Macaca fascicularis: one gene and its partner. The protein of the gene in region 1 purifies or fractionates together with the protein of each later gene. This does not show direct contact. Links are inferred from orthologs where the notes say so. Each region holds a gene or a part of one and is shown on either strand. Other genes may lie near its edges.

The links.
Region 2: the proteins of SMC2 (region 1) and NCAPG2 purify together in Homo sapiens (affinity purification with western blotting; 4 studies listed by BioGRID and IntAct, with this or other methods). This does not show direct contact. The link is inferred for Macaca fascicularis from reciprocal best matches to the Homo sapiens genes SMC2 and NCAPG2.

What each region holds. Positions count from the first base shown.
Region 1 is NC_088389.1:54,029,366-54,033,668, forward strand, and holds the start of SMC2 (structural maintenance of chromosomes protein 2), read right to left. Parts: upstream 2,816-4,303; 5' UTR 2,575-2,815; intron 2,547-2,574; exon of another isoform or gene 2,370-2,546; intron 1,572-2,369; 5' UTR 1,511-1,571; coding exon 1,343-1,510; intron 747-1,342; coding exon 597-746; intron 1-596. UniProt on the Homo sapiens protein: Central component of the condensin complex, a complex required for conversion of interphase chromatin into mitotic-like condense chromosomes.
Region 2 is NC_088377.1:199,917,470-199,920,985, forward strand, and holds part of NCAPG2 (condensin-2 complex subunit G2), read right to left. Parts: intron 3,022-3,516; coding exon 2,905-3,021; intron 2,825-2,904; coding exon 2,684-2,824; intron 2,256-2,683; coding exon 2,156-2,255; intron 40-2,155; coding exon 1-39. UniProt on the Homo sapiens protein: Regulatory subunit of the condensin-2 complex, a complex which establishes mitotic chromosome architecture and is involved in physical rigidity of the chromatid axis.

The DNA of each region.
Region 1 (4,303 bases):
ATGCAGGGGCAGGGAGGGAAACTGGAGCATACCTGGTATAATCAGGCAAGTGAAGGAACTAGGAACAAACATCAATGAAAGACCTGGTAAGATTTCACTTAGAACTAAAACACATATGCTTGCAGATCACTTGAACACTGAAGTAGGGAATAAGTCAGATTTGCTCTTAGTGCTCTCAAGAGGACTAGGATTAATGAATAAAATTTGAAGACAGCAGACTCTGACAAAATTTATAGGGGTAACTTTCTAGTAAGACCTGTCCAAAAACAGAATGGGTTATCTCAGAAGACTGCAAGATCTCAAGTACACAGGTGTTCAAGAACAACCAGAGAAGATTCAAGTATGGTTTAAGATTTCAGCATAGCTGAGTGCTTATACCGGATGAATAACTTTTCAGTTCTCTTTCAGTTCTCTTAGTGATAGAGTGTACATGATCAAAATTTTAATGTAAGGAAGATATTAAGGAATCTAGTCAGAATTTAAGGCACAAATTTTGCTCATCAACTTTCTCTAGCACGTTTTGCAAAGGCATAGGGCCAAAAACCACATCAGACATAAAAGGTCTTAAGATATCGAAATGTTTAATAGCCACTCACCTGCCTTGTTACTGTGATTTCATCATGAACCTCAAATCCTAAAGGACTTTGCTTTTTGTCAGAATTATCAAATGTGATTGACACAGAGGCTTTGGTAATACCAGCCTGCCCATTTTTGTAAACTAAATCTTGTAAATTAGAAGCTCGAACCTAAAATAAAAGAAGAAAAGTGTATCAATTACAAAACTCCCTACAAAGCAGCACTAAAAATGAATTCCTTGCTGTTGGAAAACCCACCAACATAGTGTCCACTAAGCAGACAAGGATAGGCAGCTGCATACTCTGGCAAGGAAAATAGGTAACAACCTGAAATGGACACTCTTCTCTATAGAACCTTTTCAACTCTGAATTGAATTGTTTCCTATTCATTTTTTAACAAAAAGTTACTTGGCAAGATATAAGGAAAGACAGTCCCAATGATTTTCACTAGTCATTCAATCTATTAGCAGGATTTGAAAAGGCATCATTACACAGGGTTGAAAATACTCTGGAATGAGACTACTTTACAGTCAGAAAGCCTGAGTTTTGAGGCATTGTTACTTATAAACATCTCCAACATAAACATCTCTATGTTTCTATTTTCTCATCTAAAGGAGTAATAATAGTTTCCTTAAAAGGTGACAGTGAGGTGTAATTTACAAAAAGTATAAAAACACAAATGAAGAGAATATTGTTAAGTCTCCAAAGTTCAGGGAGGATTCTCCTGCCCACTTATATTCAAATAAATCAGAAAGTTTACACTTTACCTGAGACAGGTTGGAGATGCCCAGCAAAAAGCAGATGGAGTCCAATATGTTTGATTTTCCACTACCATTTAAGCCAGTGATAGCATTGAAGAGGGGGTCAAAACCATTGACTTCGGTTCTCTGAGCATAGGACTTGAATCCCTCTAGAATAATTGACTTAATATGCATTTTCGATACTGTCTTGGGTCAGCAAACCTCTGACAGGAATCAAACAGGCCACAAACCAGTTCTGTACGAAACAGAAATACCACCACCTAAGTGGAATGTAAACCTGGAATCATAATGAACACTAGGCAAAAACGGTAATGATAGGGTAATAGAAATAAAACAGCCACTTGACAAACTATCTTGTCTGATGTAAAGACATCGTTCATCTACTCAAAAATATAACAGAGTTAGCCACTATCTGGAAATTAAACCATTCAACTGGGAAGTCTTAACTATTTCTTACACCTGTTTTTCCAGGCTTGCCTTCTACTTTCATCATACTCTAGCTAATAAAGACTACGGATTATTTCATACCCCATTATCTTTGCCCACAATGTGCTTTTTTCTGATACTGACATAGCTTACTCTCTACTGCACTCACGTCTTTGCTCAAATGTGTCACCCTACTGGAGTCCTCCCTGACCTCCCTGTGTCACCTCTCCACACTTCTTCACTCGGCTTTTTCCTTCATGGTACTTAAAACTGGTATTAGACGGTCATTACTTGTCTGTAAGTTCCTGTAGTATCTTCACCTACGTTCATCATTGCATCCCCGAATTGTGCTTGACTCCGGGAGGAGGGGAAGTCATCTAAGTATTTACTAGGGATGAGATGTATCTCATATTCTCCACCGTCTTGCTTTTACTCAGGCTGTTACTTCGCTTCTTGAGGCCTGTCTACACCTCTTCGCCCTACTCCAAGGCCGAATAGGAACTAGCCTTTATTTCTAAGGATCACCTAAGGTCCTCCTCCCCATAGCTCCCGCGTCCCGCCTCCCGCCAGGATGTCTGGCCGGGCTCAACCGGCCGTGCTCACGCACACGCCTCACCGCTGCCTCAGGCCAGGGCTTGACGCACCCCAAAAGCTCCTCCGGGTCACAAAGGCGGGGAGCAGGCCAACTCTCTAGCCGCGGCTGCTACGAAGAGAACTTCACCATAGCGGATACAACACCTGCCGCACCGCTCTCAACACCCGCGCCGGAACTATTTATTCCTTTGAATTTCGGCGCGAGCAAAGGACCCCACCTCCATTGCTTATTTCCTGTGCTGGTGCCTAGGAGCTGCCTGTCTTTAGGATTCCATTTTTCCCCTACACGCGAAGGATTAACGCTTCAGGGCAATAGGACGCAGAGTCTCGATAATGGCAGCTCCGGGGACTCCCAGGCGCGGGCCTGGGCACTACAAGAGCAGGTAGTATATGTTCACACCGGCGTCCGGCACGCTATGGTCAGCCCCACACCTCGTCCCCAGGTCCTCGCGCTTCGTCAGCCCCGCCCCTCCTCGGGTCCTCTAGTCAGCGTTCGGCGCCCAGCAGACTCCGCCTTCTCGAGTTCTGGGCGGTGCTCACCGCGGCTTACTACTCTTCACGCAAAGCGACAGAATCAGGAGGTGTAGAGGCATTCTTTGAGTGTTCTTGTCGGTTCTGTTTTGGAAGCCTCTGAATCTTCTTGGGTTGGCTCAGATTGCTGCAAAGTAAAAGCTGTATTTCGGTGGGGTCGGAGAGGCACAGTCCTTCGGAGGACTCTGGCCCGCGTCCTGGCTCGGTCCCGTGCTGCCTTCGGACTTCGCCGAGCGTTTTTATCTGAAATTTTCACGTCGGGAAGGGATCGTAGTCTACTGAGAGCTGTTCTGAGCCCAGAGGAGTTGTGTGGTGCTAAATAGCTGTTCACCTCCCTTACACTGGAAAGCGTTGTAATGATAAGCCTACCTAACCTGTCAGGGATTTTTTCTGGAAACCTTTTAAGACAGTTCATATTTATTGAGTTCTGAGTGTTAGGCTATGTTCCAAGGGGCTTTTTAAAATCCTCGTAGCAACCCTGTGAAATCAGAAATTGCCCTCGTTTTACAAATGAGTTGAATGAGTCCAAGTAAAAGGTTAAGCAGTTTGTCTAGTAAGCTGGGATTTGTTTCCAGTCTAGTTCCAGATTGCATGCTTTTAAATACATACTAGGCTCCATGCATAGAATCTAGTACTATTCACCGATCCTGTTAATTGGTATGTATTGTTCTTTAGAAAGAAAAAAGGTGTCAGCATTACTTACGTTTCCAAGCACGTTGATACTAAAGAGTTAGGAAGGATTTAACTCCGAATGGGTATGGTGTTTTTCTAGGTGAGGTACAAAAACATGGTGTGGACAATGCCATTTTGGGATGGCTTGATCCTTTTGGGCTTCCATAACAAAATACCATAGACTGGGTAGCTTATGAACCACAGAGGTTTATTCTTCACATTTCTGAAGGCTGGAATGTCACAGAACAAGGTGTGTCTAGGAAGGAGTGCTTTCTGTTCAGTGGATAGCACCTTCTGACCCTGTCCTCACATGGTGGAGAGGCAGAGGCCCTCCCTTGGGCCTATCTTATAAGGGCCTTTCCTTTCTTCCCATTCCTCACTTCCCAAGAGGCCACTTGCCAAAACCATCAGTTTGGGGGTTAGGATTTCAAAATGTGAAGTTTGAGGGACATATTTAGACCATAGCATAGGGCGTGTTTTTAAAGTTGCTTTCTTGGCCCTGGAATGGCAATGCAGTCGTCTGAACTGGTCTTAATCTACCAGGAATGGGCCTAAATTTTGAAAATATTTCTCGTTAAGGGAGTAAAATAAGTTTTATGGGTTTTTTGTTTAAGAAAGGATTCATTTATTTACTCTGATATGCTTACCCACTTCTGTGATGTCAACCATGGGTAGTGACCTAACATTAATTTACTTCAGCAGATATCTTTGTCTGCCTTGAATCCTGCATCCCCTAGGCTCCAC
Region 2 (3,516 bases), on another chromosome or scaffold:
GAATGTCAAGAAGTAATGAAACATAAAAAAATCCCTTCACTAGAAAGAAAATTGGAATATATCAGTTTTCTAATCACACAAGTTTGTTGAAATCATTACACATTTCTCACTTAACACATGTATACAATGATAACAAAAAAGAGATTATTACACTTTGGTATTTGGTGAGCCAATACCAAAAGCCAGGCTGATCAGGTTAACCTAAATTCTAATCAAAATAAATAAGTAAGTATGACATTTGTCCAATTTATAAAACTGATACCTTCAGTAACAGTAATAGTTATTAGACTTAGTCACTAAACTAAAAATTGTGTTCCTTGCACACGTGAACACACAGAAGTTCAGCAGTGTGGCTCCTTCAATACCGGAATTAGAGAACAGTTGTTCGTTCTGTTCTATTTTTAGAGAACAGATATACCTATATAATGAAACTGGCTACACTGGAGATCTAGAATTCTATGTATAATTAGTTCCTCCAAAAAGTAAATTTTATAAATAATAAAAGTAGATTCGGTCCTCATGGGAAAGTAATTCCTAAATGATAAGTGAAGTTTAAAAAATAAATAATTTTGACTGTTTCAATCATTAAGCTTAAGTATAAAATGCTGTTTTCACAATAGAAGTGAATTATAAAGAATTAAACAGGCTGGGTATGGTGGCTCACGTCTGTAATCCCAGCACTTTGAAAGGCCAAGGTGGGCGGATCACTTGAGGTCGGGAGTTTGAGACAAGCCTGGCCAAGATGGTGAAACCTCACCTCTACTAAAAATACAAAAATTAGTTGGCCGCGGTGGTGGGTGCCTGCAATCCGAGCTACTCGGGAGGCTGAGGCATGAGAATTGCTTGAACCTAGAGGTGGAGGTTGCAGTGAGCCGAGGTCACGCCAGTGCACTCCACTGTAGCCTGGGCGACAGAGCAAGACTTGGTCTTGAAAAAAAAAAAAACATTAAACAAAAAAGCTAAAGCAAATAATATTGGTCTATTTGATATTTACTATTAAGCTTTGGAGCTGTTAAACAAATGATGGATGATTTTGCTTATAATTAAAGATTAACTAAGACACTGCCCAGTACCCTGGCTCCAGTGTTCTCCTAGCATCTACTTTCAGTTGTAACGTCATAAAGAGAGATACACTGGGGGGATCCACACACACAGACCCCTCTAGAATCTGCCATGAAGATATTTAAGGCTATGGGAAAGAGACTACAGATGGATCCACTAGAAATTGGACTACCAACTTAATCTAATTCTCAAAACTTAATGTTGAATTTACTAAATGTTATCATTTTCAATCTCTTCTAGCAAAATAACTAGGCTTAAAGAAATGTCTACATCAAATGTTGAGGCTTTTACAGATCTCAGTAAGAATCAAATGCAACACTGGGATATTGGGATACTCACTTAAAAACCATCCAGAAACAGGTTTACACAGCAGTCGGCTACACCACAGAAGCAGTGGGGTGGGAGGCTGGCCGTTAGGGGTTAAGGAGTAGGGGTTAAGTAGTAGGGGCTAAGAGCTAGGGGCTAGGGGTCAGGGGCCAGGGACCAGGATCCCAGCTCAGCAGTACTCTTCTTTACCAGACTGTGATCAGAAGGCCAAGGAGATATGGAATGGCCCCAGGTACACTCCCCCTGGGTTGGCCCCACACCCTTTCCCGTCATCATCTGATGTGACTCGAAGGCTGTCCTCTCACTCACTGTTGCCATGGGTTACCCTGTGCTAATCCTTTCCTTGGGGTAACAGCAACTTTCAGGGGTCCTGGTGGGGTACCACTTAACAATTCCTGACTCACCCCCCCACCCACGGAGCACATGGCCAGAGCAGAGCCAAAAGGTGATGGTTTCCCACACAGATGCCAGGAAATAGCCACTAGCCCAATCCACAGGGAAAGTCGGCCTGGCAACGAAGCTGACCACAAGGAGAGGCAGAATCCCAAGGACCCTGTCACAAACTCTGGATGCAGTTATATCTGACCCAGAAACACCTTTGAATTTCCTGGCTGCATCACCCAAAAAAATCCCTTTTTTGGTATATACTAGGTTGCATTATAATCAGTCACTTAAAAGTGAGAGTTCTGAGTTAACACAGTAAAGGAGGGAGGGAGGGAAGGACTGGTTCTGAGTATTTATTGCTCTAAAACAGCCCTGACTGTACCTGTTTGCATGATTCCAAGACTCCGCTGTAAAAGTTGCATCTGAAACTGATGGTCACCAAGGCCTACCATAACAACATCTTTACACACAGTCAGGTAGGTCTGTAAGAGACAGACACAACTTAGCAACAAAGGCCATTTAAAAAAAGGGAGTAAATCCAGCCTCACAAAGCTTCTCCTATCCATGTGCTAGTTATCTTACAAAGCAGATTTTTACAAAGATGTTTTATAAAGGAATTTTCATAAAGATACATTAATTCTTGCTGTTTTCATAATAAATCTAGAGACATATTTTATGTAATTCCACAAACATAACTGAACAGCTGTTACATGTAATGTGTAAAATTACACTAGAAGTATGAAGTTTATGCTTTGCGAAAAGATAAACTCTAGAAAGCTAGATAAATGTTACTGTAAGTTTTTAAGAATAACACTCATGTCTAAAATCACCACTCTAAAGTAGAAAATGAAACACTGAAACATAACAAACTTGGTAAAGAGAAAGGTTTCTGTGTCTTCAGACCTCTAACCTGGATAATTTGCTGATAAATGACCCTATGAAGCTTCAGATAGTCTTCTTCTTGATCTTGAATAAAAGATAAAATTTTGCTTTCTAACCAAAAGCCAGTGTCTTCCAAAATGGACAAATACACTTTTCCTTCTGAGCAGAACTGTCCAAAAACAAGAAGATAAATCAGTAACAAAAAGATCGCTGCATCTCATCCTAGCAGAGGGCCAGGAACAGGCGCACCTTGTGTTGAAGATGGATGCTCAGCCGACAGTGGAGGCCAAAGGCTCGCAGGGCAGCCGCTTCACCGAAGCCACGAGGCTTCCCACCCGGTGTCTGCAGAAGTGACTCCAAATCTGCCTGCAACAGAAAAAACCCAAGGGTCACATGCTGACTGACAAGGCATCACCACACCCCAGACAGCAAGAACAATGGGAAGCACCTGATCTCAGGCGAGCTGGAAAGACCCCCGCTCTGGAGAAGCCCAGTCTCCGAGGACTCTGTGCCTGGACGTGAGGTGCTGGGTGGCGTAGGAAAATGTACAGCCAGGTGAGCGGGCTCAGCTCACCGTCCACAGCCCCTGCCCTGCACACAGCACCACCCGTCCCCTCCCTGCCTCGTGACCAGGCCCGTCCTCCCCATCTGCCTGGCTCTGCTCTGCTGAGGCTTTGCTTCTGGTACAGTCACACTTGAGGGCAATGTAACAGGGTGTTCAGAGGGCTGGCTTCTGGAGGAGAGGAAGAGATGACGGCCTCCGTGGGACAGCTGGGAACATGATGGGTTCCCAAAAAATGTTCTCCAAACATTCCCAGAAAAAACTGCCAAGGACTGCAGGGACTGAGTGTCCACATGAAA